4 linked regions of the Drosophila melanogaster genome follow. The protein of the gene in region 3 purifies or fractionates together with the protein of the main gene of each other region. This does not show direct contact. Each region holds a gene or a part of one and is shown on either strand. Other genes may lie near its edges.

Evidence for each region.
Region 1: the proteins of RanGAP (region 3) and Sk2 purify together in Drosophila melanogaster (affinity purification with mass spectrometry, with the first as the bait; one large-scale study listed by BioGRID). This does not show direct contact.
Region 2: the proteins of RanGAP (region 3) and cert purify together in Drosophila melanogaster (affinity purification with mass spectrometry, with the first as the bait; one large-scale study listed by BioGRID). This does not show direct contact.
Region 4: the proteins of RanGAP (region 3) and AIF purify together in Drosophila melanogaster (affinity purification with mass spectrometry, with the first as the bait; one large-scale study listed by BioGRID). This does not show direct contact.

The regions. Positions count from the first base shown.
Region 1 is NT_037436.4:3,043,858-3,050,659, forward strand, and holds Sk2 (sphingosine kinase 2), read left to right. Parts: upstream 1-3,229; 5' UTR 3,230-3,332; coding exon 3,333-4,309; intron 4,310-4,788; coding exon 4,789-5,797; 3' UTR 5,798-6,302; downstream 6,303-6,802. Other genes in the region: Prx4 (peroxiredoxin 4), read left to right, coding at 48-98; scramb2 (scramblase 2), read right to left, coding at 989-1,012, 1,116-1,274, 1,866-2,359, 2,780-2,894; CG32485 (uncharacterized protein), read left to right, coding at 6,682-6,802.
Region 2 is NT_037436.4:8,283,423-8,292,331, reverse strand, and holds the start of cert (ceramide transfer protein), read left to right. Parts: upstream 1-2,461; 5' UTR 2,462-2,619; intron 2,620-2,848; 5' UTR 2,849-2,883; coding exon 2,884-3,162; intron 3,163-4,111; coding exon 4,112-4,504; intron 4,505-4,574; coding exon 4,575-4,723; intron 4,724-4,957; coding exon 4,958-5,018; intron 5,019-5,862; exon of another isoform or gene 5,863-6,139; coding exon of another isoform or gene 6,140-6,205; intron 6,206-8,038; coding exon 8,039-8,263; intron 8,264-8,327; coding exon 8,328-8,559; intron 8,560-8,717; coding exon 8,718-8,909. Other genes in the region: CG7201 (uncharacterized protein), read left to right, coding at 587-938, 1,007-1,418, 1,475-1,748.
Region 3 is NT_033779.5:19,439,451-19,448,415, forward strand, and holds RanGAP (Ran GTPase activating protein), read left to right. Parts: upstream 1-2,508; 5' UTR 2,509-2,805; intron 2,806-2,888; exon of another isoform or gene 2,889-3,277; intron 3,278-3,382; exon of another isoform or gene 3,383-3,853; coding exon of another isoform or gene 3,854-4,097; intron 4,098-4,180; coding exon of another isoform or gene 4,181-4,401; intron 4,402-4,461; coding exon of another isoform or gene 4,462-4,600; intron 4,601-4,658; coding exon of another isoform or gene 4,659-4,977; intron 4,978-5,042; coding exon of another isoform or gene 5,043-5,169; exon of another isoform or gene 5,170-5,300; intron 5,301-5,501; 5' UTR 5,502-5,735; coding exon 5,736-5,835; intron 5,836-5,894; coding exon 5,895-6,576; intron 6,577-6,646; coding exon 6,647-7,148; intron 7,149-7,225; coding exon 7,226-7,402; intron 7,403-7,458; coding exon 7,459-7,788; 3' UTR 7,789-7,867; downstream 7,868-8,965. Other genes in the region: CG10237 (uncharacterized protein), read right to left, coding at 1,214-1,271; Hs2st (heparan sulfate 2-O-sulfotransferase), read right to left, coding at 3,854-4,097, 4,181-4,401, 4,462-4,600, 4,659-4,977, 5,043-5,169; Top2 (topoisomerase 2), read right to left, coding at 8,288-8,611, 8,693-8,965. UniProt on the Drosophila melanogaster protein: GTPase activator for the nuclear Ras-related regulatory protein Ran, converting it to the putatively inactive GDP-bound state. Trans-acting factor necessary for meiotic distortion.
Region 4 is NT_033779.5:2,148,914-2,156,110, forward strand, and holds AIF (apoptosis inducing factor), read left to right. Parts: upstream 1-2,840; 5' UTR 2,841-3,121; coding exon 3,122-3,233; intron 3,234-3,319; coding exon 3,320-3,552; intron 3,553-3,749; coding exon 3,750-4,031; intron 4,032-4,089; coding exon 4,090-4,192; intron 4,193-4,368; coding exon 4,369-4,618; intron 4,619-4,682; coding exon 4,683-5,497; intron 5,498-5,559; coding exon 5,560-5,984; 3' UTR 5,985-6,192; downstream 6,193-7,197. Other genes in the region: Tbcd (Tubulin-binding cofactor D), read left to right, coding at 1-867, 929-1,348, 1,416-1,882, 1,935-2,540; CG15382 (uncharacterized protein), read left to right, coding at 6,870-7,197. UniProt on the Drosophila melanogaster protein: Probable NADH oxidoreductase. Mitochondrial effector of cell death that plays roles in developmentally regulated cell death and normal mitochondrial function.

The sequences.
Region 1 (6,802 bases), on a different chromosome or scaffold from region 3:
GAAGCATTGCCTTAGGTAAATTCTTTTTGATACCATTACCTTTACAGATCGTTCCCAATCCTGAGGAGAAGACGAAGTACTTTGCCAAGAACAACTAGGGACAGATAGAGATGCACATTACCTTAGTAGCCTAGCCCAGTTACATTCCTAATGTTCACGACTGAATCACGATGCAAACGAACAATCGCTAGAGTCCTCTGTACAGAAAATCCAAATCCGCAATGCCACCGATTGTGAATATTTCGCATTTGCTTTGTACAAAACATAGTTTGTTTATTTTACAGCATAACTGAGATATAAATAAATTCATGAAGTACATGTGAAGGTGATGAAAATTGCGCGGCGCCACAGGAGCGGTACCAAAAAGGAGGAGATGTTTTCGATCTCAAAATGCCTTGAAAGCTGGCTCACTAGGCCACTCTAATGGGTAACAATTCGATTGCAATTAGTTTCATACAAAAATATATGTAATATGTAATATGTAGTAGGTAAAAGGTAATAGTAAATTAGTTAGGTACGCCATGGTTGCAATTAAGTTATCCTGTGCTCCGACCTATGCGTACAACAAAGCTAGGTCTGTCGAGGTATATAAATCTGGGGAAACGGGACGGGGGCGACGACAATAACTAGGACGTCATAAGGCACTCGTTCTCGTCGGATTCTTCGTGTGTAGTCTGCTTTCTGTTTTCCGTTTTGTGCGTTTGTCAGTAAGTGCTTCATTGTGGTGAGCTTTAAATGCCAAAACCGAGGTTCATAAAATAACGAAGGTGCAACTGCGGTTCAGATCCAAGTTGTGCGGGAGATTCCTTTGCTGCGGAGATTCCGTATCGATCAAAGCGTTGCACTGTTCAGATTCCCGGAAACGTTAATCAAATAAGGGGTTAAAAAGTTCTTAGAGCTATGACCATGCAACACGTCGAACCAAAAAGCAGTCGGCGATTATAATGTTTGGGCGTTTGTTCCTTTAGAATGCGATTCATCATACAGCCTACTGCTCGTAGTAAACCGCGTCCTGGAATTAAGACAAACACAAATCAATGAAGGGAAACGAGTATATAGCACTGGCATATGCTTTATTTCACTCAGTGATATATATGATATACTGATATACTCACAATCAAAAAGAGCGCTGCGAATATGAGCGCCTTCATGCGGACATCCAGATTCAGGGGGAAGGTGACGCTGAAGTAGTCCGCATCGGTGAACAGCTCCCTTCCCAGTCCGGACCATTGTTTGCTGATTTTGCCGATCTCCTCGTTGTTGGCGCTCAATACCTGTGCGCGGTTAAAGGGGCGAGAGATGTTTGCGTTTCGCATTAATCGGTTCGCAGTTCGCGGCATCGCAATTAATTGACTCGCTCTGGACAGTCAGGCATGGCTAACCATGACGTCACTGCCTCGGACTGCAGTCTCTTTGCTTCTGTACGATCACAGCAGCGGTCAGTAAAAGGGCTCATAGATCGGCACAAACACTTGGTGCATTTTAGCCATAAAAAGTATAAATTGATTGATTGATTTTCCTATATCTAGAGGCATCTGTTAAATAACGTATACAATTGAAAATTTAAAACTAGTGTGGGTGCTATTAATTTGAACGCTTCTGTCTGTTCATAATTATTTAGAATATATGTATATAGGCACTTATAAATGTTTAATAATTAAAAAAGCAATTAAGTGGACGCCTGATACTGTTCATTTTGGAATTTTATAAAGCTTCGTCTTTGACTGATGAAGACCATACATATGTACTCCTCCGAAGAATTTAAAGCTAATCCGCTGACCGCTGCTGTGTGTGTATACACTTGTTTGGGCATTGGGAATCGAGATCGAGAGCCAAGAATAACCACTTGTTGGCTGCGTACTGACCTTGAAGTTGGTATCGCTGAAGCACTTGCAGGGACAGACGGGTCCCTCGATCTGCAGGACGGTATCGCCGCATGTGTTCTTGATGTTGAACTTGGGCCGCATGAAGGTGCAGACCTGCTCAACGCTACCGATCACCTGGCCGGGTGGCGCCGACACCTCCACGGCGTTCATGCAGCTGGGAAAGCAGCAGAGGATGTCGCACTTGAAGGGCCGGTACAGGTGGAGCACCTCGTTCTGAAAATTGTCCAGTATCTTCATCTCGAAGGGGCGCGACCGGCCGAGCATGTTGCGGGTGCAGCAGTCGCTCTCCTCGTACGCGAAGTACACATTCTGGCCCAGTGAGTTCTTCACCTTGAAGCGGTTCTTCGTCTCGAAGCCGGTGAGCAGCTCCAGTTTCTCGATCTTCTGCGACACGAGCAACTGGTCCAGAGCGGTCAGGTATTCCAGTCCCTGCGGGCAGTTGGGCATGCCCACGGGTATCGACATCCAGTTTTCTGCAATGGGGCGTTGTTCCGGATTAGCTCCCTATGTATTTATATTTATCTATATGCATAAAGTGCTTTTCCGATATCTATGCATGGGTAAAGGAAATTAGCATAGCTACAATGGCGGTCAGGCGATTAGGGCCAGTGATAGCAGTTCTTAACATAAACTAATATTTTAAACAATATGTATTTACGTATTGACTTGGAATCACTTCACTTTTTGGTACATTATAAAATATCTTTTTTACATAGATAACTATGGGTGCTATTGCCATGCCCGCTGCTGTACTAAATGCCAAGAAAGAGACGACGGCATTTCCGCCTTTCGCACACGCCCACTAGCCCACACAGACGCGCGCAACCGACTAGGTCCATCCGAGTGATGGAATTCAACAGTGGACAAATCCATATATGTCCATCGCTACGCACCAGGTCCGTTGGCATTGTTGCCAACATTCGCCGCCTGCGGCTGCAGGACCACTGCGCCATTCTCGTCCTGCGGTGCATTCTGCGGGAGCACCTTGTACTCGCTCATCTGCATCATTGTTATTCCCAGCAATTAAATTCGTATCGGATTCTTTAACAGTTCACAAAACACTAAATGCAGGGTGACCGCGTTGCGAACGCCGAAAAATGCAACGCAAATGCACCGTACGAAATATTCTGTCATATATTTTGGTATTTATTCGAACACAGAAAAATATCAACAAAAAGCTTTCAGCACTCAATGCAGTGACAAGTTAAATTTGTTATGAGCTGACGTTTTTGTGGATTCATTTGTATTATTGCATTGTATTGCAATAGTTTCCTTAAGCTAGCCTCTTTAAGTTCTAAGAATTTTGAGTTTATTTGTGCCAGTTGGTATATTCGCGCCTGCCACCGACGGTAACACTGCGGCTATGATTGGATGATAAGCGATCCATAAAAGCCTGGACACAAAAGACCTGAAACATGCTGCTTGGCAGCCGAATCTCCAGTCGAAATGAGCGAATCTCTTGATAAGACCACCAGCCCGAGCTCGGCCAGTTCCAGGGCCACGCCCCCGGGAACGCAGGATGCGGATGAGGGCCACGACGTGAGCGATACCTTCTACACGAGCCAGCGCAAGAAGGGCAGCCACGTATTTCGGGTGCGCCTTGACGCCACAGGATTCACCCTGCAGCGGGAGTCGCCGGGCGGTAGCATTGTTAAGGAGCAACATGTCCGCATATCGGACATTGTGGGTGCCCGCTGCATGCGGCCCAAGAAGAGCCGGCGCCTGGCGATGTCGGGCGCCTGTGCGTGCAGCTCCGGTAATCCCAATTCGCCAGCCATCTCGGCGTCCGGCGATCACCATCGCCCTGCCACCACACCAAGCAAATGCAGCACCAATAGTCGGGATAATATTCCTTCGGATGGCGGCGATGTCAGCGCGTTTCTCTACGTTTTTGCCTATGTTCTGAAGAAGAGGAGCCTGCGGTCGGAGTTGCACCGGGAGCGAACGGTGCTCACTCTGCGCTTCCGGTCGTTCGACACCTTCGAGGACAACATGAGGGAGGCGGATCGTTGGTACAGATCCCTTCGCTGGCAGTTGCATCGCACGCTGGAGGAGATCTTTGTGGCGCCGACGGTGGATGAGCGACGCCGTCGAGTGCTTGTGCTGTTGAATCCCAAATCCGGTTCCGGTGACGCTCGTGAGGTCTTCAACATGCACGTGACGCCGGTGCTCAACGAGGCCGAGGTGCCCTACGACCTGTATGTAACCAAGCATTCCAACTTTGCCATCGAGTTCTTGAGCACCAGGTGCCTGGACGCCTGGTGCTGCGTGGTGGCTGTCGGCGGAGACGGTCTCTTCCACGAGATAGTCAATGGACTGCTGCAGCGCCAGGACTGGGCCCACGTCCTGCCTCATCTGGCACTGGGAATCATTCCTTGCGGCTCCGGAAATGGATTGGCCCGCTCCATTGCCCATTGTTACAAGTATGTTATCTTTGTTTCATGTTTCATTAGGAAAAACCCCCTTTTGACTTATGTGGATCTTCATATTTCGTGTAAAACAATCCCTCCAGCGTCTAGCCATGCAGTTTATCATTAGATTACATTCATAAGCAAAAGTAGTTTTCTTATCGTGTCAAATGGTTTTGTTGTTTTGCAAGTGGGGATATCCCCTTAAAGTTAAATTGACGTCAGACTAGAACAAACTTTCCACATCGTTAAGTAATTGCCCCCCAATTTCGTTCAACATTTAGTGGCATATCATCGAACTTTGAAATCTTTATGTTCTTTCTTTATGTTCATCTATAGCTCAACTTCCCGATAAAAGAGTATAAAAAGGGTAATAGAAAAGAATGTTTATAGACTTTAAAACCACATTCAGGTGTCTCATATCCGATCTATTGGTCGTAATCCGATTATCAGTCTTGTGTTGAAACCTATTCACTTGAAACCTTTCTCCCCAGCGAACCATACTTCAGCAAGCCAGTGCTAGGAGCTGCTCTGACCGTAATCAGTGGACGCAGTTCACCCATGGACGTGGTCCGGGTGCAGCTGCAGAGTCGCTCCCTCTACTCCTTCCTGTCCATCGGCTGGGGTCTGATCTCGGACGTGGACATCGAGAGCGAGCGCATTCGCATGTTGGGCTACCAGCGCTTCACCGTGTGGACCCTCTACCGTCTGGTGAATCTGCGCACCTACAACGGCCGAATCAGCTATCTTCTGACGGACCATGAGGTGTCCTCAACCCATAGCGCTACCGGTTATGCTGCCCAGCGGAGAATGCAGAGCAGCCGTAGCTGCAACACGCACATCGACATGCTAAATGGGCCGGCGCCCATCTATCATTCCAGTGCCGAGTACCTGCCACAGGAGTTTGCGGACGTGATCTCCCTGGAGACGTCCATCAATCAGTCGTTCCGCTCGAGGTGCGACAGCTGGTTGTCGGGGGGATCGCGGCGCAGCTTTTACTATTCCATATCGGAGAGCATCTACCACAGTCTGGCGGATGAGAGCGAGTTCGCCGGCCTGGCGGCCGCCTCGCTGGAAAACCGGCAGCAGAACTACGGTCCGGCAAGCGAGCTGCCGGATCTGAACGAACCGCTGTCCGAGGATCAGGGTTGGCTGGTGGAGGAGGGCGAGTTCGTCATGATGCACGCCGTTTACCAGACCCATCTGGGCATCGACTGTCATTTTGCGCCCAAGGCCCAGCTGAACGACGGCACCATCTACCTGATCCTCATACGCGCCGGCATCAGCCGCCCGCACCTGCTGAGCTTCCTCTACAACATGAGCTCCGGCACTCACCTGCCGGAGTCGCACGACGACCATGTGAAGGTGCTGCCAGTGCGAGCATTCCGCCTGGAGCCCTACGACAATCACGGCATCATCACGGTCGACGGCGAGCGCGTCGAGTTCGGGCCCCTCCAAGCTGAGGTCCTGCCGGGCATAGCCCGCGTCATGGTGCCCAAGTAGGAGGAGCTTACTGAAGACCATCAAGCAATAGAAATCTCAATTTTGGAATCTCTGCATTTGTAGCTAATACTTAGGGTCCCAGGTGGCCGATATGAGAGAGTTGTGCATTCTACATATTTCGTGTTTTTGTGGCCTGCTTCTGCCAACCAATCATGTATTGTTAACATTTTAAACACAATAACAGCTATTTCCGAAATATCTAACATGTTTGTTTATAAAACGTGTGCCATATGAAGTGCACGTGAATTTATTTTTATCTCGGCTGTTCAAAATAGCGATGAAAGTCTTATTTATTTTGTTCTTTTTTTTTTTAAACTGTGTAACGAAATGAGATATATATTCAAAATGTTTAAAGATGAATACAAATAAATCTTCATGAATTCAAAAATCTTAGAAAGTAACAGTGTAAGTAACAGAGCTAAATCATTTACAATTCCATATTTTAAAGTAGGAAGTTAAGAATATAACATCTTTGAGCTTGAAATAAAAAATAAAAATGTTAACTAATTTCAGCTCTGTTTCAATTTGTTTTCTTCTCTTTACTATATAGTTTAAAATATTTTTCAAAATTTATTATCAATTAAAGCTTTTATTAAAATGTAACGGTTCCAACCAATAACGGTAATTTTTCGGTATTTCGTGCTTGCATTTAGTATTGTTGTGGAACGCAAATGACAGCTTTTAGAGAGTTTCAGCCGGTCACACTGGTCGAAAAAAAAGAAAAAAACAAATCCGTTCCGTTTGTGAAAAAACATTTCCGAGTAAAAATAAACAGCGCTGCTTGCATTTCACATAGTGTCAGCACATTCCGATTCCAGTCCGCGACTCTCCAGCACGGAATCCCAGTCTGCATTCCGGTCAGGAAGCGATTCGTGCTCTACAATATGTCGTCCGAGGAGCTGGCGCCAATTAACGAGCAGGACTTCAAGGATCTCAAGGAGCGCATGAAATTGATTGTGGAGGCGGATCCAAAGCAGTATCACAATGACTTTTCGCTGCGTCGCT
Region 2 (8,909 bases), on a different chromosome or scaffold from region 3:
GATGCTTCGAGGGGAAATCTAGTTGAGAATGCAGAATGGGGTGAGCGATTTAGTAGGTGAGTCCATGTGTGCGCCACAATTGCTGTTATACAACCGTTGTATAATGATGGCCATTAGGCCAGTCTTTTGCCAACTCAATTGCTAGGCGGTCGAAATTGGAATGGGACTCCGTGTCTAGTTGAGTTTGTTGCCTAAGTCTTTTGTTTGAGTTTTCACCTCTGCAGGAGCAATCAAATTAGTTACCCATGCTGCCTACTTACTCCCAGTGAAAATAAAGTAATCAAGGATCTCCATTATAATAATGATCAATCAATCATTTGCACTCTAATCACTATTATCAGCATCTAATCATTATTATGACAGCATTCAATGGATGTTCAGCAACGAGCTTGGAAAAAACTATTTAATACGAGAATATCTAAAAACTAAAGTGTTATGTTTGAGTTATGTTGATCTTATCTTTAAAAGCCTCTAACTTATGAGCTGTGTTTACTTATTAGACCATAATTTGTCTGTAAAGCTGTTTCTCCACCTTTGCAATAACAATTTTTTATTACCATCTCAGCACTCATCACTCAACGTGACCATGGAGAAGGTGTTAAGGCGATGCAGTCGCCTGCTCCTCCTACTGCTGCTGCCACTTGTCAGCTTGTGTCCAAATGCATTGGCACTCAATCGACAGGCGGATGCTGGCCAGGCTTTGGATATGGCAGCGCAGCTGGCGGATGCGGAAGCCGAAGCCAGGCCGGATTACGATGCCGATTCCCCGGATACGCCGCACATACGCAAGAAGCGACTCATCTGGATTACGGATGATGGCAGATTGGCCCTGCCGCCGGGCACTTCGCTGACATTCGTGCCAACCATTGCCATGCCCCTGGTTCGGCATCCGCCCGAGGGATTCTTCTCCAACCTGACCATCAGTTTTCCCGTCACCAGTGCGTAGACAGCTCTCAATGTCAATGATTAATCAATTAACTCTGATTTTTGTTGCCTCAATCCACAGTTGACTTCGACAAACTGGGCCTGACAGACAACCAAAATCCTCTGGGGGATCTGCCGCCGCTGTTCGCCCGCTCCTTTGGTCACGAGGCAGGCCACATGGTTGGTGAATATGTGGCGAGGTATCTGCATGTCCAGCGCAGGAAGAGGGATCTCAGCGAGCAGCGGAGCAGAAGCAACGAGGATCATCCCTTTAGGATACACGAAGAGGGTCCAAAGTATCCGGAGCTGCCAGCCGGACTGCAGCATATTTTCCATGGCGGAGAGCGGGTTTTGCTCTATGGCGTAGTGGAGGACTTTCTATCCACCTTTGGCATGGATGGCAAGGCCTGTTTGCTGAGAACCATTTGTGAGATGCACTCACGAAGTTTGGAGAAGTTCGGTGTCTTTGGAGAAATGACAAAGCTATTTTTAACGTGAGTAATTTCCTCCTTTCAATCGTGATTCTTTGTTACACAGATCTCTCTTATAGGGTAACCAAATCTCCGTTTTCCGACCTGGTACCCGACTATGTACAAGCCCAGGAGGTGGGCGAGGGAAAGCAAGCACCAGGAGAATGTTTTCCCTACTTCAAGGACTGTCCGAAGAGTATATTTAAGGCCTTGTCCAGCAAGTATAGCAAACCAGCTCCTGCGAGCAAGACGAAAAAGACAAAACCCACAGACAGACCGGTGGGCGAATATCATGAGGAGCAGGTCATTCAACTGCCCACCACTCGGGATCAGGACAACAATGTGTATATGTAGAACAATGACCAACTCCCATGCGAACCCCTATTGTTGACCTCGTCTAGATGTTAGGATTACGATTGAGTTGAGCGCGTCCTCAAAGTCACTTGCTTGTAATTAACGTGTACTAATTAATTTATAATTATTTATTTTATTTACGCATTGTATTTATTGTTAGTCGTAGGCGTTGTTAATTGCTTAGATTTGTATCCATGTTTGTCTAGTGGTCTGTAAATAATTGAAATTGTGGCATAATTCCTTCCTTTCAACAAATGAAAACGTGTCGAATGAATAGAAAATAAATTTCCCTTGAAAGGTGCTTTATAATTGTTTTCATTCAAATAACAACTTACGGCAATAATGGCCAAGATATGTACAACATTGCGTTTTTAGATTTAAACTGGCGCCAAAAACGACAACTGCCTGCATTGCACAGCACTATCAGCAGTTACAAATCAAAGTTTGAAACCAAATTAAAGTGGTTACACTGGCAGCTAGATTTGGGTACTCTCCATGTTTTTGTGAAAGTAATATATGAAGCAAAATAATACTTAACGGTACTTAGTGCTCGGTTTGTAGTTATGTAATTACTTAACTAATTGCTCATTTTAAAGGGAAGATTTAAATTCAAATTTTGTGTATTTATAAGAAGAAGAAAAAGGCACTTCTGACAACTATCGAGAGTAAGACATCGATAGCGTAACGACTTATCGAAGGAACCGTCGGTCGTCAGACCATCTCTAGGTCAGCTTTGTTTTGGTTTTGCAGCGAAAAAAACATCAGCGTCGTGAGTTCTCTTCGCTTATTTACCAAGCCTCCCACAAACAAGCCAGAGCATTACGTGTTGCACAGATGTTTGCGGATCGTCGAGGAAATCAATAAACGAAAGGTGAGTGCTCCTGGGTGGGGGCCAGCTGGCGCTTCAGAACCGCGAAAAGGCGGTGCTGTGAGTCAGGCGATGCGATCGCTGATTGAATTGGATTATCACGATAGGAGCTCCCATCAAATTGCCAGCCGGCATTGTAGTTGTTTACATTGCGCGGACGTGGCGCAATATATTTTTAATCTTCTGCGGCAACCTGCTGATTAAGATACCCCCGAACCGTTTCATTGTATAGATAACTTGGCAGTTGAACTCCGGAGCTGGAAGAGGATGGACACGAACGCTGGGGAGTCGCTGGGAGCATCGCCGCCCTCGAGCAATGAGGCAGCGGCGGGATCACAGTCCCAGAGCGATGCCTCCGAGGAGGAGGAGTATCTGGACAACAGTATCGAACTGAGGGGCTATCTCAGCAAGTGGACGAACTACATCTATGGATGGCAGCCACGCTACATAGTCCTGAAGGATGGTACACTCTCCTACTATAAATCCGAATCGGAGTCGGATTTCGGGTGCCGCGGAGCCATCAGCCTGACCAAGGCCACCATTAAGGTAGGACGGCCGAAAAGAGAGAGGGTGGAGCTCCTTCCCCAAGTGCTTTCAATTGGACTAATAAAAAAGTAATGGGCGTGAGTGTGTGCGCATGTGTTTGCGACACATTAACCAACGATGACCGCGACCTGAGGTCTCCGTTTCCATTCCCAAGCCAATACACCCATTCCCAATCCAATTCCGAGCGACGCAATCAATGCAGCGCAATCAATTAACGTTGGGCGACCAAAATAGACCAAAATTGAAGTCATCAATGTAAGTGGGGTACCCCTCAGACCTAGGCGCTGCTAGAAGGCCTTCTGTTGACAGGAGGGCGTGTTGTTCTAGGAGGGTGTTTCGCCATGAGTGTGTACTTATCTATTTATACTGTAGGAGCTGCCAAAAGCATATACACAATGCTGACTCACTAGAAGCGGCCCTTCCATTCATTCGCCTTGACTTTGCGAACACTGATCTTATTCAAAGATATTGAAGCCTCATTTAGTTCAAAGAATTTTTCCCAACAATCCAAATAATAATTATCACCGATTTAATCGATCATGATTGGATTACTTGGATTACTTTACAGTGAAACCAGCTCACTTGTAGTTTAAGTTACTAATAATTGGATTTATTTGCAAGTGATTCATTTAAAATTTTAATTAATTTTCACAAATTTCTCTTAGTGTTTTGACTCATTCAGGTTCCACTGTAATTTCCATTTGCCAACAATAATCTTGTATTCGGGTGTTTTCCTTGTTGATTTCATGTTTACCACTGATTTGCGTTCCGCTATAATCAACCATTCAAAGTTAATTAGGTTTTTTTTTCGTCGAATTTATTGTATTTCGTTTTAATAACTGGCTTATTACTGGCATGAAATTTTCATTTAAAATATAAGTAAGATAAACCGTTTATTTGTACCTATTTTGTGCCTTTTACTAAGTTCAAGTTTATTTTTCTTTTGTAGGCCCATGAGTCCGACGAGCTCCGATTCGATGTTGTGGTGAACAACTTAAATAACTGGTGCCTGCGGGCAGAGACCAGCGAGGACCGCATGCACTGGGTGGATGTGCTGCAGCTGTACAAGGCGGACTCCGGCAGCACGGACACCACTTCCTTGCGCCGCCATGGCAGTACCATGAGCCTGCAATCGAACACTATCTCGCTGACCAGCGGAGGAAGCCTAAAGAAGACGCAGCGCAACCTGCGCGAAAAAGTCGGCGAGCTGGAGACCTTTAAGGATATACTATTTGGACAGATCGAGACTCTGCAGCGATACTTTGATGCCTGCTCGGAGGTGAACAAAAACAATGCGCAACCACTGGACCTGGGCGACGGTCTGAAGTCCATCGATTTCAAGGTAAAGTAGTGCACTTATCGGGCCATTGGTATATGTACAGTGTACTAAGCAAAACACTCGATTTTCTCAGGGCGAATCCATCACGTTTCGGGCCACAACGTCCGGCGTGCTAACCACCCTGCAGCATTGCCTAGAAATCATCGCCGAGAGCGATGAGTCATGGAAACGGAAACTGGAGCGTGAAATAGATAAGCGTCGACGTTCTGAGGACCAAAGCAAGTAGGTTGACCTAGTCGGAATAGATTCCTACAAGAAGAAGCAATTTCAATTACCTTTTTTGTATTTGCTTGAAAACCATACGTTTCTTTAAAAATTATCATGCTATTTCATGGTTTAATTTATTTAAAAAAGGATTAATAATGTATTTAAATTTAATGTGTACATTCATTTCTGAAGTTTATTCATTTAAACGATATTAAAACTATGGTAAAATTCTATGTTTCTTCTTTGCAGAAAGCTCAAGGATGAAGTTGAGAAAATGAAGCGTCTATCGTATCCTGGCCCAGATTTCGAGGTGAGTTCAAGTTTACAGCTCTCGTAAAAGCAAAAGCGTAATCGCATTCACGGTCATTGCTGCTCAAATCGGGGCCAAACACGTTCCCACTGAAAATGCAAACAATCGCCGAATGAGTGGCGCGAAATTCGTATAAACGATTTGCGTGCGATTTGTCGGCGTCTTAAAATAAACTGCCTGATTCGACGTTGTGTCAGAGATTTCATCATATGCAAGGAAAGTAGAACACGCTGGACTATTATTCAAGCGTTTTCAATTCGATTATGGAATGCCAGTATTTGGTTCCGAATTTTGGCTGACACGAAGTTCCCGTGTTCGTGTTAATCTGGAATTGGTCATGCAATATCGTTTTTCCGCTTACATTTGTTTGCCCAATCAATTCCATTTTAATGGCATATGTCCACAATAGCATTAGAAAAATGATGCTCTCCTACGAATTGTAAGTGCTCAACTTGGTTGTTATTCTTGGCTCGGTTACTTGGCGACTACTCAGGCTGAAAGACTGGGCGTCTAGACGGTTTCATTAGGCCTGTTTGACAGTTGGGCGTAGCTTAAGATCTACTTCGAGCCAATATTGCAGATATTGACGTTGAATAACGATCCAACCGTTGGCTAGAATGCACTTTGTGCAACGGGTATATTAACTATTACGTCTTCAGTGATCTTCATATGAAAATTTTGTTAGAAAATCCCGATTTAAGTGAACAATATATAGTAAACATGTACGTGATCTTTCACTATACGTTCAAGCTTAGAGCATTCAATATGCGGCTCACTTTTTGAGCTGTGGCTTTTAGCCTGGCTTACAGCTGTCAGGTTTATGGCTTATGAGCTAGGCTGGTCAGTCGGCGGTTAGCGATCGAGTGGCCAACACGTAGCAATTATAAACAAATTTGCTAGGCAAACAATTCAAAACGAGACTGTTTCTTTTTCATATTGGTCGTGGCATTTAATTGAGTGTGCAGATTGTGAAATTTCTTGCGTTGCATTGAAAGAGCTATAATAAATAAACAAGTGTACACAATTGTAGCAATCGCTAGTTCATGTTGCAAATATAAAAGCGCCGCACGCATCACTGTACAAATATACAAATTTATAAAATTATAAACAACGTCAACGCTATGCCCTCGGCGCGATTTCTGTGGCGCTCCGGCGGATTTCAGAAGGGCAGCGTTAAAAAAATAAAGGTACACTGAATTAAAATCATAAATAATTTACATAAAGGAGTGGTGGAATATATTTTTATAATATGTGTTTCGTATGGAAATATTTCAAGGCGTATTATCACTTTTATAAACAATAAACGTTTCAATATATCTCCAAATAAAATTTGATAACACTTTTAGTAATTTTGAATTTTTTTTCTATGTGCATATATAGCTGATAAAAAATATTAACAAACATCGTTGTGTTTTTGAAAAATTTCTAATCAGCTATGAATGTGGAATGTCAAATATTTTTTTATTATGATAAAAGTATTAGTTCGGAAGCATTGCTTTGATAAAATAATGGTATTTTTCCTTAGTGTATGAAATGTTGCCTAAAATAAGTTTCATAAAATGTTGATGTTGGTTTTTTCTAACCAAATTGGCCTCATTAGTGGGCCACCCCACTCGCTTTTGAATGTTGAATGTTTGAAGTGCGGTGGCCAAAGAACCCCAAGAATTGATTTATTATTTAAATGCAAGAAATCCTATCCATTGGAGCTTTTTGCTCTGTGCGCTTTTCGCTTTTTACTCTCAGTCGCCCGCTTTCTCCTGCTCTCTTTTTTTGGCCTTCTCTCTGCTCCGCTCATCCTGGCCAAGTTGGCCAGTGCGTTTGGGCCACCAGCAACAGTTTGTTTTGTGTCCTTGTGCTCGACGGAAGGATTCGCCAGGACACAAGTGCGCTCACTTTTCCTGCTTTCGCCTGCCACGCAACCCTTTCTCTCTCTCTCTTTGGCTCTCTTGCGGTGCGATTCCTGATTTTTTCCTGCTGAGAAGGAGCCTAATTTTTGCCGCCCAAAAACCTCTTCGCTTTTGTTGGGTTCAACTGCAACAATTGGTGGAGGAGCCTGGTAAGAGGAGACATAGCGACGCCACAGGAATAAGTACGCATATAGCCCATGTCTTCATTGTTGGTTAGCTGCGAGTGCCGCTTGGTCAAGATGATTATGCACTCGAATTCACGCCGCAGGGTGTATTTATTTCACCGCCTTTGGCTGCGCACATCTCTGCTTTAATTAATAAATATCAATTCAATTCCGCACAAATTCCATTCGAGGCATTTATTTTGCGCCGGTTGCCGTTCTGGGGATACACGCGCCAGTCGCAGACGTCAGAATGTGTACAGTGAACACTGGCTAGCACAGAATGGAGCGGATGTATACCTCTAAAGGGCCGAACTTCAAGGGACACTTTTCCTATATATCAATCCTAATTTCAGCATAATATTCTAAATACTCTCAAAATATTATGATTTTGTTTGTATATTACAGTAGCAATTTGGTAAACTCTGTTGCGAAATTCGAAACACATTGTTAGGAGGAAAAGAATTTTATAAATGGCAAATTTATCAACTTAATTAAATTTCGGCAGTATTATTGTGTAGCTTATTGGTGGTTTTTCCCCACGAGATGCCACTGCTTTAATGGGATTCAGTACCAAGTACCAAGCCCCGTCTGGCGGTCTTCTGCTTTCGTATTCATGGCACAATGATGCGCCTTTGTGTCCATTATGCTCGCCCAATTACGCATGCCAGCCGACTACGAGAATCTCCGCCTGGCGACTGGTCAGGGTATGGAATGGGCGAAAAAACAACAGCATAAATTTGATTTTCTTGGGCCATTTGGCCGCACAAGTGTCGGCGATTAATTTATACAAAGCACGTTCCATTTCTTTCCAATTGGATTGAATGCGGTTTCGTCATTAAAATTAATTAGGCCGAACCTTCAAAGATGCTTTTGGGCTAAACTTGACTTAGTTTGCTCGATGCTAATGGAGATATATGTATAATATGACATTTCCCTTTCAATTTCGCAGGAGGGTCCACATTCCACATTGCCCGAGGATGAGTTCTTCGATGCGGTCGAAACGGGCCTGGACAAAATCGAGGAGGACATGCAGCTGCGCTTCAAGCTTAAGCTGCAGTCCCAGATCTCCCAGACACTGGTCAACGTTCCACACGAGGCGGTGGCCGAGGGCGAGGAGGCGCGCGAGGAGTTCGGCACGGGTGCGGAGGCCACCAGCCATGCCCTGTGGCCGGAGGTAAGACCGGAAATTGCCAATCTGGCCCCCTAACGACCAGCCAATAATTGGATTTATCCCGCAGATCGATCGCGTGTGCAAGGAGCAACTGCATTACGCACGCGAGGGCGTTGGCCAAGACGGCAACGGCTGGCAAATCTTTGCCGACGAGGGGGAGATCAAAATGTACAAACGCGAGGAGGAGGTCAACGGGCTGGTCATGGATCCCTTGAAGGCCTATCATACGGTGCAGGGCGTGACGGCGAGGGAAATGTGCCATTACTTCTTCATGCCCGAGTTCCGAAATGACTGGGAGAGTAAGTAATTGCAATAAACTGGGTTTTCCCTCAATTTCTTTTGGTTTAAAGCACGCTCAAAAGAAACAGTGGCGTGCGCATAGATAATTCATAATTTTCTACAAACAACTCACATGTTGCAGCTATACAACTTGTTGCTTAAACTTTTTATTCTATAGCCACTTTGGAGGACTGCACCATCCTGGAAAAAATCTCGGCGGACACCCTGCTTTTCCTGCAAACCCATAAGCGGATATGGCCGGCGAGCCAGCGTGATGCGCAATTTTGGTCGCACATGCGCAAGATCACAGACAATCTGGAGCCGGGCGCCCGGGACATGTGGGTGGTGTGCAACAACTCGACGGAGTACG
Region 3 (8,965 bases):
TCAGTTTCGCTTTCAACTTGGACTTGCCTAATTTATTCGGGTTTTCTTCGGGTAATCGCCCACAGTACTATTGGGCTCTTGAAAATCCCTTGGCATAGGCATTTCCCATCGCGACCCTGAAGCCCCGTGCCCGTGCATAGCCATCCGGTTTCAATGCTGCCCAGCTACACGCCAATTAGTGCTTACACCTGTTCGGCGTACCTACACCTGGGGTCACCCCACTAGCAATTTGTTGGAGACCACAAACATTGGACACTTGAAAGCATCTTCAACTATTTATAGATCATAGTTATAGATCATAAGATCGCATCTAATGACACCGCATCACCATGTCATATCATATGTCCCTATTTTCTCAGCCCCATGTGTTAAGCCAGGCATATTTGGTATAATTAACACGTCCCAAAGCCGAGCACCCTCTGCGTTGTGGACAGCAAATGGTTCCCGCCCGGTTTTGGACAAATCGGTTCAATCGCACGATCGCACGTGCGAAGACTTCGGCCATTCATGGATACGGATTTACGTTGCGATGATACTCTCGATTTCATTACGGCCAGTTTCGGTCATTTGGTCAATTTTTATTGGCCATCTCGAAGCGGATGCTGACGAAAACTGGGTGGTACAAAGCTGCGAGTATATGGAAAAAACTTGAAGCGAGTAATATGAGTAATTCTGGGGTTACGACCCATTGCAATGTCAACCTTCGCCCTTCGGTTTTTTCTTTGCAAAAAGCGTGTTAAAAACCCTGCATGAGAAACCTGCTTTTGAAGAACGTGACAATGGCGGTTCAAAAGCAAAAGTGCTTTGACCTTACTCAAGAGATGGAAAAAGTACAAGTCGGTAGATATTACTGACATCGAACAAATGGATTGTTACATGAATACTCGCTTGATGTCCAAACAATTTAGATGGCATATCAAAAGGCATTGCAAAAAGTGTTGTTTTTTTTAAATTATTTATATTTTGAATACCTTTTAAATACTCTTTCTCGAACTAATCGTGACTTTCAATTACCAGCACAACTGTATATAAGTTTTTAACAAACTGGTGTATAGTTTTTCGAGCAACTGTAGCCACGCGCCTTATATAAATACATACGTACGTATATAGAAAATAATTCTATTTGAGGGAGATAATTCTAAGAAAATGCATATAGTACTTGCAATAAATATACGATAAAAAATGGGGTTCGGCAGATTTCGCTATTGCTCACCAAGTGGGAATTCAGAGGGCAGGCACCTCATCGCAGATGCAGTGGTCAGCATGGTCATGGCGATGCAGATCGAATGAATACACACACAAGTTACTTTACAACTAACTAAACCGGTATGCACATGCAAATGCTAGCGTATGTAAATAAATTAATATTTCTTTATTCAGGCTGATCGAGTCGGGAGCATCGGCGGTGGCTAAATGGGTCAATGTCGTCGGCGAGTTACTGAACTTTGTCTGAAATTCTCGAGCGACGAGTGCGAAAGGGGGGAATGCATGCAACAGTAATGAGCAAAAGGCAATGCAAAAAACACGGACAGACAGTGATGCCTCGTAAATAAGGGCTGAGCGTAGCTACATAGTGATAGTGATGGTGATCTGGCTAAGATATTTTTATGGTCCCTAGCGCTACACACTCAGAAATGCACTCTTAAAAAGAAAAGCACTCTATATGTATATATATATACAAATGTATATATGAGATCCAATTACTCACCTTGTTTGAATTGAAAATCGGCTAATCCACAAATAGTTGGCTGGTACAGTGGAAATCCTTCGGAACTCCCGTTCGACTCCGATATATGTACCTAGTGAGCTTGGGTCGCGTTTGAAGACTGAAAATACAAAGCTGCTTGTCAAATCGTTTTATAGCCGCCCCTTTTATGCACTGCGTGCATTGCACATATGTATTGTACGACAAAGTTATAGTTATCAAGATATATACATAGGTCGGTCGGAATAGTCGGGCACTCGTAAGGCCAGCGCGACTTAATAGGTCATTATAAGCGACCGATTCGAGTTAAGAGCTCTAAAGATCACGTCGCGAATCGCCGCATGGGATCTTCTTTTTTTTTTTTGGCTTGTTTTGCATAAGTTCACCTGAAAATGGTTCACTGAGCTCAGCATTAATTTTATGTTATTTCCATTGTTTTTAGTACGTTAAAGTGCCAAGACAAGTGCGGTATTTCTCACGGTGCAGCGCACTCAATCGATTTTCCACAGCAATTAACATTATTAAATATAATGTTGCAGAAGGTACACTGAAAGTAAGTGAGTACTACAAAATTCAAGAACTTTCTTCACTTTGTGTGCACTTTTAGAAATGTTCTTGACTTAAAACAATATAGTTATTATTATTATTATTGAAAAAATCCGTACTTTCTATCAGGAAATCCACTTTGCTATATTTTGTAACTATATACACTTTGTAACTTGTACTGTTTAGCACTTTCGAGAAATTCTCATCTGCCACTTGCGAAAAGTCCACTTCCTATATTTGTTCTAGAATGTAAACGAAGGAATATTTTCATTTCTCGTCGCAAAATACGAAATTTTTAAGTTAGCTATATAGCATCGGGGCACTTTCGCAATCGCGGCACAGCTTTATATATGTATATATATTTATATTAAGTGCGTGTTCTGAGCGTTTCGCACAGTGTATCGTGGTTAATCTTCTGATGGTTACGCGACTTGGATGCAATTAGACTTGAACTTTTGAACGCTCCGTACACGAGTAGTTTAAAGACTAATCGCCTTCGCCACTGTGACTGAGTGAAAAACGAGTTTGTAATCCCTCTTACGGATCGTAAGTGTGTAAGTTATTGCTTTGGCTATCACTCCTCCCGTTCGACACAACAGTAACTTTCTGCTTTTCTGCCGGACACTAGCTAATGTACCTTCTTTCGACTGGCGTGTCCGCGTTCCACGATCAAGTGATCAACTGACTGACGGGGGCTGTGGGTAATTCGAGCTCATTTGCTTTTAGTTTCAAGCACGAGCAATTAATTAAGTATTTCACTGCTCGCCGTTTCCAAATGTATTTCCATGCCATTTCTTGCGCTTGCCTGAGCCCATTCTGCGTGTCGGACCGCCATTCCGCCATTTAGCCATTCGGTCATTCCGTCCTCCAGTCAGACGATCACCTTCGAGCACGGAGCTACGTCAGCCTTTAAAGTCCGGCGGAATTTCGTTGGGCAGCCAAGTGCAATTAGCTAAGTCGAAGTACAGAACGCTGAAAGTTAAAAGTAACCCACTGATGGCATTAATCAATTTACGAACACGCAATCCCAGCGACAGCTGTTGATACGCACAGCGCGCTTCACATGGACATACAGACAGACAGACGGACAGACACTCCATTATCTATTAGGTATTTACATGCATTTAATTTGAATGTCAAATTCAGATTTATGGCCTAGCCTATGAGAGTTACAAACAATGAGAGTCGATTACATATGAATTTACACCTATTTCTAGTTCTACGTATGCATATCGATTCAATTCATCCATTCATTCCGTTGTATTGTCGAGTATAAAACGTACATTTGACTAATCATATAGAGATATTGTGCAGACAATTGTTGCTAGATATTGCTTACGATGAACTACAAAAGCGTTCTCGCCTGTTTTATACGTTTAAAGCTTAGACTACGTACAAAAGGTTTGGGTTAGTAATATGTCAACGATATTCAATGCTAAAGTCTTAGGTAGCGCTTAAGTGTACGGATGAGTTACTCTTAAGTACAGATCAAATCTATGCGAAGGAGAATTACGTATTTACAATACAATTGTCGGAGACTCCTGGTTAGATCACTGGAGTCGGCCGAATCCTCGCTCTGCGACTCCGTCGCCTCCTCTGCAATCATTTGGGCCGAATCTTCTCGTACATGAATTTCTGCACGTGCTTGTTGTCCGGCTGCATGAGCTTCTTCTTGTTGAACTCGAATTGGGCCAGCGCGAAATCGTACAGATCGTTTTCCATTTGCCAGATTTTTGTCTTTTGAATGGATTTAATTGTCGATTCGCTGGGCGGAAGCTTGGAAGATGTCACCCGCAGATGAGATTTGTTTGAATTATGATAGTGCTCACGAAAGCCGTGAAAAATTCTGCAAAAGAAAAAAAAAGAACAGGTCAATGAAGCAACTGGAGTATTCTAAAACAGACAATAACATATGGTTGGGAGGCACACCTTGGAAGGGATCTCTCGAGCAGATCCACAAACTCGTACATCTGCTCTGTGACTCCGACTAGGAAGTATTCGTTGACTAGATTGCGCTTGGCCTGGTCCAAGGCCCAACTGCTGCCGGGTTCCCAGCACTCGGCTGCATGGCCACAGAAGAAGGGTATCTGCAGCCACATGTTTTTGGGATCACAGTCGGGTTGTTTCTGCACCACGCACTCATCGAAGGTCTGCAAAGATGTGTGAGGGCTTTGGTTACAGGGAGGTTAATACCTTGATGCTCTACCTACAATTTTATTGCCCGCCTTCTTGCGGACTAAATTCGGTCGGTAGTTGTCGCCAAAGCGTAGAAAGTAATAGTAGGAGACAAGTCTGTCGAGCGGTTTGCGCACCAAATTGATGTAGATGGGCTTGTGGGCGATTTGGAATCTGCAAAGGAGTAATGCAATTGAGACGGGCTCTGCTGGATTGGCTAGATGTTACCTACTTTGAGAAGTCTAGGAAGGCCATGTGGCCGTGATAAAGAGCTGGCTTCATCTCGTGCCACCTGGAAACATTGCGCACGAATTGGATTTGATTGGGAAGCGAGAGGACGTGCATGTTGGCAGTGACATTGATGTGCAGCACATGGAATTTATTGGGCTTGCACAGATCGTATGCTATGTTAACAAAGCTGGTGGATCCCGTTTTCGGTACGCGATTGTAAAGCACCACTAGGTGCTCCTCGAAGTCAAAGTCATCGGTGGTGGACGAGGCATGCTGATCTGGGCTCAGAGAATCGCCCAGCTTGGAAAGCGGCTTGAAGGCTGCACAAAGTAGGTAATGGGTGTAAAAGTGATATGGTTTTGCCTAACTACCGGACTCCACTTACCATGTTCCAGGCGAATCTCTGACCAAAGCAACCAGTAACCTGCACAGGTGACCGCGCACAGGGCTATCAGGATCAGCCAGTGGGTGGGTCGGAGCAGAATCCACATCTTAAGCAGTTTCCTAAACATGCCTCGTGTCGGTTTGCCCTACAGGTCAGCACGGTAGCTCATATCAGCGTATTTATTTCAGCATAATCTCAGGTCGTTGTTTTCCTTGTTTTTTTTCTGCAACCAACATCGAGCAGTGTTGGTCAGCAGCTGCTGGACAGTGCTGCAAGGCACTGAAATCTGGTGAATCTGTGGGAATGTGCAGCTGTAGCTGAGATGACTAAATTAGTGATGGAAAATAGCTCAAAATGCTAGCTCGGATAATTGCATTTAATTTCCAGCTAGGAATCCGTAAATTAATTGCCTTATATTTATAACTTCAATAAATATGTTTTTCCTAAAACACAACACAGAATATTTTAGGCCAGTCACAACCAGATCTGCATCACCCTTCAGCAACCCTTTTGCCTTGAGCATCACTGTTTTTATTAGTGTGACCACCCTTGCCGGCAAATAATACCAAGCAATGCCAAAATTCTAGCGCCCATTTTTGCGAGGTTAAAATAAATTTCGCAAGCCGGCTGCAATCGCAAAGTACAGTGCGACTTATATACACTCGTATAAAATAATTCCATTTAAAAGCAAGCATGTCCACCTTTAACTTCGCCAGCATGGCCGCCCAACTGGGCCAGGAGCAGGGAATATCATTCGAGAACAAGGTGCTTTCCTGGAACACAGCTGCCGATGGTAAGTTTGGGTGACGCTTTGGGTACTCCATGCAGTGGCTATATTGAGGCTTTTTACAGTCCAGGATGTGGTGGATGCCCTTAACAAACAGACCACCGTGCACTATCTGAATCTGGACGGGAACACACTGGGCGTTGAGGCCGCCAAGGCGATTGGTGAGGGTCTGAAGCGTCATCCAGAGTTTCGGAAGGCGCTGTGGAAGAACATGTTTACTGGTCGTCTCATATCGGAGATTCCGGAGGCACTCAAGCACCTGGGAGCCGCGCTAATTGTCGCGGGCGCCAAACTGACAGTCCTGGATCTCAGCGACAATGCCTTAGGACCGAATGGCATGCGAGGCTTAGAGGAGTTACTGCGATCCCCGGTCTGCTACTCGCTGCAGGAGCTGCTGCTGTGCAATTGTGGCCTTGGTCCCGAGGGCGGTAGTATGCTGTCCCGGGCTCTGATCGATCTGCATGCCAATGCCAACAAGGCGGGCTTCCCGCTCCAGCTGCGTGTGTTCATAGGTTCGCGCAATCGTCTCGAGGATGCCGGTGCTACGGAAATGGCAACCGCATTCCAAACCCTCAAGACCTTCGAGGAGATTGTTCTGGAGCAAAACTCCATTTACATCGAAGGCGTCGAGGCCCTTGCCGAATCCTTCAAGCATAATCCTCATCTACGAGTGCTAAACATGAACGACAATACTCTAAAGTCCGAGGGAGCTGAAAAAATAGCTGAGGCTCTTCCCTTCTTGCCACTGTGAGTCGGTTATAAAGTTTTTGATGAGGGAGAGTGAGTGAGTGTTATGTGATATCTTTTTGCTTTGCAGGCTGCGTGAAATGAGCTTTGGAGACTGCCTGATCAAAACTAATGGCGCCTACCACTTCGGTGAGGCTCTGGAGAGAGGAAACGAACGACTGGAAGTTATCGACTTAGGTTTTAACGAAATCAACAGCGACGGCGGCTTGGTGTTGGTGAATGCTATGGGAAACAAGCCCAAGCTACGCATCTTGAATCTAGATGGCAATAGCTTTGGAGAAGAAGGCAGCGAGAAGATAATCAGCGAGATGAGTAAGTTGCCAACTGCTGCCGCACTGCAACCGTTTCAGCACCAGGAAGAGGAGGATTTGGAAGATGAATACCAGGCTGACAAGCAGGACGCAGATTACGAAGAGGAAGAGGAAGTACACGAGCACGCCAACGATACTACCGAAGAAGCAGATGAGGATAGCGAGGGCGACGAGGACGACGAGGAAGACGAGGGAGACGAGGAGTACAGCAACGTCGCGGAGGAGACTGCCTATGTCACTACGAATGCCTACACGACCAAGGTTAGTTTATACTTCGGAGTACTGTGCAAATGGTAACAGCAATTAATCGAATTATCTTTAATTTTAAATTTTCACAGCTTTTTAACGACACAACCAACTCGATGGCCAGCGAAACTTTTGCGGTCGCGAACAAGACGATCAGCCAAAAATGCACTCCAGAGAAGTTCTGTTTGAGCCAGAAACCCTGCTCCCAGGAAGATTTCGATTCGCTAGATATGGATAACAAACTTGAGGCTTTGCAGTCGATTGTCAACGTAAGATATTCTCAATAATTAGAATGCAATTAGAGTAACGTAACATTTTTGTACAGCAATTCACCGGCGACAACCATTTGCTACTGCTCGTCTTCACCACCTTGAAGTGCGCGCATTTGTCGCAATCCTCGAAAGCTGCGTTGGATCTGGCCGTCTCCTTGTACCAGGCCACCTTTGACTATGCCATCAAGACAAAGCAGGAGACACGTGTACTCAACTATGTACTGATGCAGCTCCGTTTGTTGCCCTGCAAGGAGGTATTCCATTCGGACTACGATGTCAAGAACTGTCGATTTGCTCTTCGCGAGGCTCTCAAGCAACCAACGTTTGCCAACGACAACATTAAGAATTCCTTTAAGACTTTCCTGGAGGGTGCGGAGTCGTAAAGAGAATTAGAGAAGAGATTACCTTTATTTCCCACTTTCCGATTTGTGTAGCTTTCGCGAATAAAAACGTATTATTCCTAACCCGTAGTGGTGTTTTTTTTTTACCCAAAAAACCAATCGAAATTTAATGTATTAGCCATTCGGCAAAAGTGATTTATTTACATGAAGAAAACTCGTATGAGACTACAAACTATCTTTATGGAACATGTTAATACATCGATATTACGTTTGTAAATTCCTCTTGGTGGCTTTCTTGCTGCTCTGGAACAGAATCAGCTACAGTGAACGAATGTAGCGAAGTGTTTATCTATAGTTAATAAAAACACGAATTATAAAACATTGACGTTAACATCGAGGAGAACATTGAAAGATTATAAAATAACGAACGATCGTGGCGAGCAAGTCCGCAAAAAAAAGTGCCTCCTCGAGATTCTCGATGCGGATAATGCTGATTCTAAGAGTCCATCTTCTATCAATATCCTGTGTGGAAATGTGTTCCTTAACAATTAAAATCAGAATCATCATCATCATCTTCATCAATCTCGATATCATCATCATCGCTTTCAATTACAGCTCGCCTCTTCTTGGGCGGAGCTTTCTTTTTGGCTCCTCCACTGCTCTCATCCTCTCGTCCACGCTTAGCTGGACGCTTGGGCGAATCATCATCGCTGGCATTGCCATCATCATCAGAGCCAACGTTGCCACCGTCTTCCTCCTCATCCGAGAAGAGCGAGCTGTAGTCTATCTTCTTACTGGCCTGTCGACGTCCAGGACGCTCTGCACGAGGAGTTACTTCCTCCACGTCATCGTCGCTCTTTTTCGCCTAAAGATGAAAAATATTAATTGACAATTAAATACAGATTTGGGTTTAAAAACAAATATGGGCAATTACTGAAACACTTACCTTGGCCTTGCTGAAGTCAATCTTGCTCTGCTTGAGCCCGCCGCCGTTCTCCTTCTTTTGGCGCGGCTTTTTTTCTCCCGGCTCCTTCTTGACAACCGCCTTCTTGGCCTTGGGTGAGGTCTTAGAGCCGCCCTCGACCATTGCATCAAATTCGTCCACCTCATCGCCGCTGGCATCAGGTTCGGCTTTAATCTGCTTGCCCTTCGGTTCCTTCTTCACTTTTGGCTCCTTGGGCTCTTTGGGTTTCTTCGGCTCCTTAGCCGCCTGAGCTAC
Region 4 (7,197 bases), about 17 Mb from region 3:
TGGAACCCCACGAGGCCTGGCATGGTGCATGCCTGGCTTTGGCAGAACTGGCAAAAAGGGGATTGCTGCTGCCACATCGATTGGAGGAGCTAGTACCCCTCCTTATGCAGGCGCTCTTCTACGACGAGATGAAGGGCTACATGTCGGTGGGGCAACACATCCGAGATTCAGCCTGCTACATGTGCTGGGCATTTGCCAGGGCTTACAATCCGGATGATGTGAAGCCATTTGTGCACAAAATCTCATCTGGCCTGCTGACCGTTGCAGTGTTCGACCGCGAGGTGAACTGCAGGCGGGCTGCCTCGGCAGCTTTTCAGGAAAGTGTGGGACGCCTGGGCAACTTTCCCTTCGGAATCGAAATCTCCACCACGACGGACTTCTATTCCGTGGGCATCAGGCAGAATTCCTATCTAAACATCAGTGACTACATTGCACAGTTTGAGGTGTACAGGGAACCATTGATTAACCATCTAGTTCAGCATAAGGTAAGCCATTGGGATTCGGCTATAAGGGAGCTGACAGCCAAAGCCCTGCACAAACTATCCCTTTGGGAGCCCGAGTACATGGCCGCTGTGGTGCTGCCGCAACTGCTGGCAAAAACTGACACCATCGATATTAACTGCCGGCATGGTTGTGTCTTAGCCATGGGAGAAATAACACTGACCCTACGGAAACTAGAGGAAAAGAGTGATCCCCAAGTGGTTTACCTCTCCAACCAACGGGTTGCGGAGCTGAATGAACTAATAATAACGTTCCTAGACAAAAATTTCTATCGCGGAATGAGCGGCGACCTGATGAAATCTTGCACCAGCAGCTACATAAAGAACTGCAGTCTGGCCAAGTTGCAGGCTACGCCGGAGTGCTTGGGTAGGAAAAGAGTCCCTAAAGTATAACAAGCATATTATTTAATTGCGTTTATTCGTTTCAGTTTCCTGGCAGAAAGTCATCGATTCCTGTTTGATCACCAAATCAAACGCTATTCGGGATGGTGCGGTGGAAGCGTTCGGTGAACTCTGTACCACTTATTACTGCTCAGATTCCAGGCACGGGGAAAACGAAGCCATAATCAACACTTATCTAACAGGTGCAGATAACGATTTGGAGGAGCACATTCGCATGGGCTACATTGCTGCTCTGGGTGTGCTCCCATCCTTTATGATCCGCTGTCATCTGCAGGCTATATTGGACAGTCTGGTGAAGCACTCCCTAACTCCACTGCAAGCAGTTCTGGTGGGTGAAATGGGTGACCGCGAGAACATCCAGGCATACAGGTGGAGCGAGGCACGGACACAGAGCGTGCTGGCCTTGACCAAGTTGGTGAAGACCGTGGGATATGGAGGGGGAATTGGTGAGTCAATGATCTTAGTTGTGGGCTAAGAATGTGAACAAATCTTAGTATACAATTATTTTTTCAGACTCATTTGCTGAGCCGAAAAACTTTAACAAGGTTATCGAATGCCTGTTAAGAGCTCTTCAAGAGTACACCCTGGACAACCGTGGTGACATCGGAGCGTGGGTGAGGGAGGCGGCTATGTCATCGCTATACGAAATCGTCACTACGTGTCCGCCTGATCTCCTCGCCCCAGAGCAAGTGCATGAGATTGTCGTGGGCTTTATGCAACAGGCGGTGGAGAAGATCGATCGCACTCGTGGATTAGGTGGTCGCCTTTGCTGCCAACTGATCCATCATCAGCCGAGGATCCCCTACATACGGGAGCACTCAAAACTCTTGGAAATATTTCCCGCGGATGCGGATTCCGTACTTTGGTTATTTGCCGATCACACATTCCCGCTGTTCTGCGAGCTGCTCTCTCTGCCGGATTACTCTAAAAGAGTTCTTTTGGGTCTGAGTGCCAGCATTGGTCAACTGACTGAATCTCTTGTAAGTTGTATAGACCACCTCTATATCAATCTCTAAAATATTCTTCCTGCAGATCAAGTATGCCTCCAGTGCCTTATTCCACTTCTTGCGTTCCAATCCTGAGACTGTTCCGCGTCTCTGCTCCGAGGTGGTCCAGATTTTCGAGGAGCATCTACTAAACGAGCGCGTGACCTATCCTCTGCTCAGTTTCCTGGATATACTCATTGGCTCCGGAACTGTAGAATCGGTTCTACACGATGAAGCAAATCCCTTTGCAGAGGATATCTTTAGGCTGCTCAACCTGGAGGTTAAGGGCTACAAGAAGCTGTACAAGACTGCGACCAGCATCAGTGCTTTTTGCCAGTTGCTCCAGGTTCCTCGCCTGTCTAAACGCATCCTCTCCAAGCTCTCAGTATTTCTTGGACTGCAGCACGTCCACGTTCGCAAAACCGCTGCCACAAAATTGTACGAAGCGTTGGCTCTGCACGGCGATGTCACCGAAGTGCCCGAGGAGAATATGGATGAGATCCTAACACTGCTCTCCGAAACGGACTGGACCCAGCCGCTGGTGGAGGTGCGTCCGCTGCGGAACCAGTTGTGCCAACTAATGGACATCAAGCCTCCCGTAAGTGGAGCAGCTGCTGCAGCCGCTTTGCAGCAAGCGAGTGCTGATAAATGAATGTTCCCACATGTATTTAATATATATTAATGCACAATTGTACTGACAACATACATAAGTGGTATTCATAAGAATTTTTATTCTTTATTTTGGAAGCACATCTTTATTTTAACATGTTTTTTAATATTTATCGTTTTCAAAACAAAGAGCTTGTAAGTTCGATTTTAAAATTTCACTTGCTCAAAATAAATTAAATATTGTTCAACATTTCAAAAACCAACGAACACTTTTTGATAAAAAGTGGCTATTTTCAAGCCAAATAATTTCGAATAGGCGCTGGGCCATTTCCCATTTCATTGCGACGGTCACACTGCGACAGAGACAGAAAAAAACAAGACAGGCGAGGGAATGAAAAATAAATATAAATTAAACGCGGACTACCCAAAAGCAAGGAGGGATAAAGGAGTCGAGATCAATTAAACACCGCCGGACTTCACACGGAGAAATTTGTCATAGAAATTGGTTTTTTTGTAAATAAAACACGAACTCGCAAAACACACGTTTCTTTCGCCGCACAACGTTGTTACGTTACACAATTGTGGATTGTGGTGTCACCTACTCCGCAGCCAGTGCAAATCACGATGAGTATTTGGGGGGTCCGATGTCTGACGCAGAGGTTCATCCGGCAGGCGTACATCCTGGCCAACAGAAGGCTATTGGGTCCAGTGCCGCAGCGCTCGCCGCCGGCATACGGTAAGTGAGGTTATGGCCGGCTGGCCAAACCGATCCGTGTTTTCATGTTTTTGCCGATAACTAACTAGCATTCACGTCGATTTCAGCTCCTCTTCGGCCAGCCCACAGCAGCCTCTATCAAATGGTAAAGAAACGCACCCTTGAGGCGCGCACCAAATTGCAAGCCAACAAATATCCAAATCATCAAGTCTGCGTCACCAAGCCCTCGACCACGCCCCCCGTTGAAGAGTACGAGACGGCGGTGGAGGGAGCCGGCGTTCCCGCCTACGCCAATGCCCAGTTTCAAGCCCATTCCCAATCGGAGCCACTCTTTAAAGTGGTACCCATCGTTCATACCATTCACCATCCATTTGCATTAGCTGGATAAGTTGGGGATGCAAACTAACTTCCTACAAGCCTTGTGAAATTGATAACTAGCGAAAACATAGCTGGGTTATTAAACAGAAACCAGTTTGCATCCCCATCAAAGACTTGCAGAGTTATTAACAAATATTAAACAATATAATCAATTTCCAGGGCTTTGCTGACGTCAAGTCCGTCTGCAGTGCTAAGGATGTGTTAAAGTCGGACAGTGCAAAGCTCAGCACCAGCCAACCCGTCCTGGATTCCTGCAAAGCGACTAGTCCCTGCGAGGAATTCAAGCGCAAACGAAAGGAGACCACCTGCCAGCCCTGCGACGAGGATGGTACTGCTCCCGGTGGCGGTGATGGTGGAGACGAGGAGTGCGAGTGTCGGATGAAGGACCTACGGCTTAAGTGCCTCTTGGGTGCCCTGGCTGCCTTGTTAGCCGGAGGATTTGTATGTTTCGATCTGATATCTAAAGGAAATATTCTCTAATTACTTTGCTATCATATAGCTCGCTTGGTTTATGACGCGGGATACGGATGACAGTGAAGCCAAAAAAGCCGAGGCGGAGGAGGAGGAACGAAAACGTAGATTAGTTGCTGGACTAGCCACGAGTAAGTAAAGCGAAAACCATAGATTTTTGAATTGGTAGGCTAGATTAAACCACATTTGCCAACTGATTCAGATAAGCATTATCTTATACATACCTCAAAATCATCATGATTGGATAATAATTACAACAATTTTCAAGATAGGCCGAGGTAACTTATCACTTTCTCTCTATGCGCAGGTCCGCCCAGTTCTGAGGACCTTCCCAAGCATGTGCCGTACCTGATTATCGGCGGCGGAACCGCTGCCTTCTCTGCTTTCCGAGCCATCAAGTCTAACGATGCAACAGCCAAGGTTTTAATGATTAGCAACGAGTTCCGCAAACCCTACATGCGCCCCCCACTGTCCAAGGAACTGTGGTATACGCCCAATCCTAACGAGGATCCCATCAAGGACTATCGATTCAAACAATGGACGGGATCCGAGAGAAGGTAGGTCTGAATAACTTTTTTTATATAATTGAAACCCATTAAGTTATTCCCTTCCTGTTCACAGCTTGTTCTTTGAGCCGGATGAGTTTTTCATTGACCCCGAGGATCTGGATGATAATGCAAATGGAGGGATTGCCGTCGCTCAAGGTTTCTCTGTGAAGAAGGTGGACGCTCAAAAACGCATAGTGACGTTGAACGACGGTTACGAGATAAGCTACGACGAATGCCTAATTGCCACCGGCTGTGCCCCCAAGAACCTGCCCATGCTGCGTGATGCTCCGCCCAGCGTGCTCGAAAAAGTAATGGTCTATCGCACACCCGATGACTTTGATCGCCTCCGCAAATTGGCGGCGGAAAAGCGTTCAATCACAATTGTTGGCAATGGATTTATCGGCAGTGAACTGGCCTGCTCCCTGGCACACTATTCCAGAGAGAACAATGGCGGTAAAGTGTACCAGGTGTTCCAGGAAAATGCCAACATGTCAAAGGTCCTTCCAAACTACTTGAGTCGCTGGACGACGGCAAAGATGGAAGCCCAGGGTGTCTGCGTCATCCCCAACGCCAGCATTCGCTCGGCAGTTCGCGATGAAACCAATCTAAAGTTGGAGTTAAACAATGGAATGACTTTGATGTCGGACGTGGTGGTGGTCTGCGTGGGTTGCACGCCAAACACGGATCTCGCGGGACCCAGCAGGCTAGAGGTGGACAGAAGTCTCGGCGGTTTTGTGGTTAATGCAGAGCTGGAGGCCAGGCGGAACCTGTACGTGGCCGGTGATGCTTCCTGCTTCTTCGATCCTCTGCTGGGCAGGCGACGGGTGGAGCACCATGATCACTCGGTGGTCTCTGGTCGGCTGGCCGGCGAGAACATGACGGGAGCAAGTAAGTTACTGGGCTTAAAGTTAATAACCGATCGATCATAATGTTCGCCGTACCTTTTGCAGAGAAACCTTATCAACATCAGAGCATGTTTTGGTCCGATCTAGGTCCAGAGATCGGATACGAGGGTATTGGCTTGGTGGATTCCTCGCTACCCACCGTTGGTGTGTTCGCCCTGCCCTCGGAATCCGCCACGCGCGTTGACCAACTGTCTGAGTCTAGTGATTCCGACGTGCCGGAGACCAGTACGAGTTCCAGCCAGTCGTCAAAATCTGATGCCGGGGCTAGCCAAGATGGCGTTACCTGTGATCCCGATGAGGCGGGCAACTATGGCAAGGGTGTAATATTCTACTTGAAGAACGACAAGATCGTCGGCATCCTGCTGTGGAACCTCTTCAATCGGATAGGCTTAGCTAGGACAATAATCAATCAGAATAAGAAGTACGATGACCTCAATGAGGTGGCCAAACTGTTCGAGATTCACGCGTAGAGAACAGCGAGTCCCGAGGGACCATGGAGAAGATCTGGCTACCCTGATATGCTTATCAGCACGCACCGAACAGAACCTATCCAACCCGAATGCCTTTAACTGTGTTTACTGTGTACATTTGCAACTGCAACTAGATACGAACGGCAATGACGCAATGCAACAGAAATTTTAGTTTTATTATTTTTGGAATAAACCTTATTTTGTAGTCAACGACATTGATTCGGTTATGTAGCAGCAAAGTGCATATCTCCGTGTAAATATTGAAAAGTCGTAGACAAGCGGGTCTCTGTTGAATTGTGTGTAACTTTCGTAATAAACCAAGCACCAGAAAGTTGTTGACAAAAAATTCACCGTACCAACTAAACTGTTCAAATTATTCATTTTCGGTGTTGAAAAATCCGCTTTTTGATCCTGAGGCACCCGTTATTTAACTAATCCTAAGAGATTTTGCTTTGATTCTTATTTAAATAAATCGTAGGAACTTTGGAACTTATTTTTTTTACTTCAATCATATAACCCATTTGTTTATTGTCCGAGTTGTCTCACAACGGCACAGAATTTAAATGTACATATTTTTTTGGAATTTTCCCAGAATTTGACTAAACCATCTGCCTTATAAAAGACGAGCACCTGGTTTAGGGTTTTAGGCTGGATTAGCTGAATATAGCGAGGATCAATAAAATTCGCGAAATATTATTTTCGCTGAAGTAGGATCCTACCTGACTTCTTGTGCCAAAGGTGGTTACTTATTAGGGCCACTCGGATTACCGACCAATTGGTAGGTAGAGCCCGAGAACGGGTGGCCCATAAGCAGGTACATCCTTGGGATATATAAACTTTGCCCTGAGACAAGCAGGACATCAGTTCCTTCTCGACAGTCTAATCATGAAGTACCGCATGTTGAATAAACGCAAACAGGCGACTCCCTCGCCAGTAAGAGATTCCGACGCAGCCGACGTAGCCATGGCCAACCACAGTGCTCTGGAACTGGAGGCGGCTGCGGCTCTCTTGTTGCTCCGCTACCAATACGATCGACAAGTGTGCAATAACATTATAACCTACACGGAGTCCTGTTCCCCGACTCCACCGCCGGCAGTTGCTGACAACACGACGCCAAAAGATCAGACTGTTCGTCCGCCAGTCGCCAGCCAGCCGCTGAAGAAGCGCTCCATACCATCGCACATCCTCCGCAGATCCCTGACTCCGGCCAAAT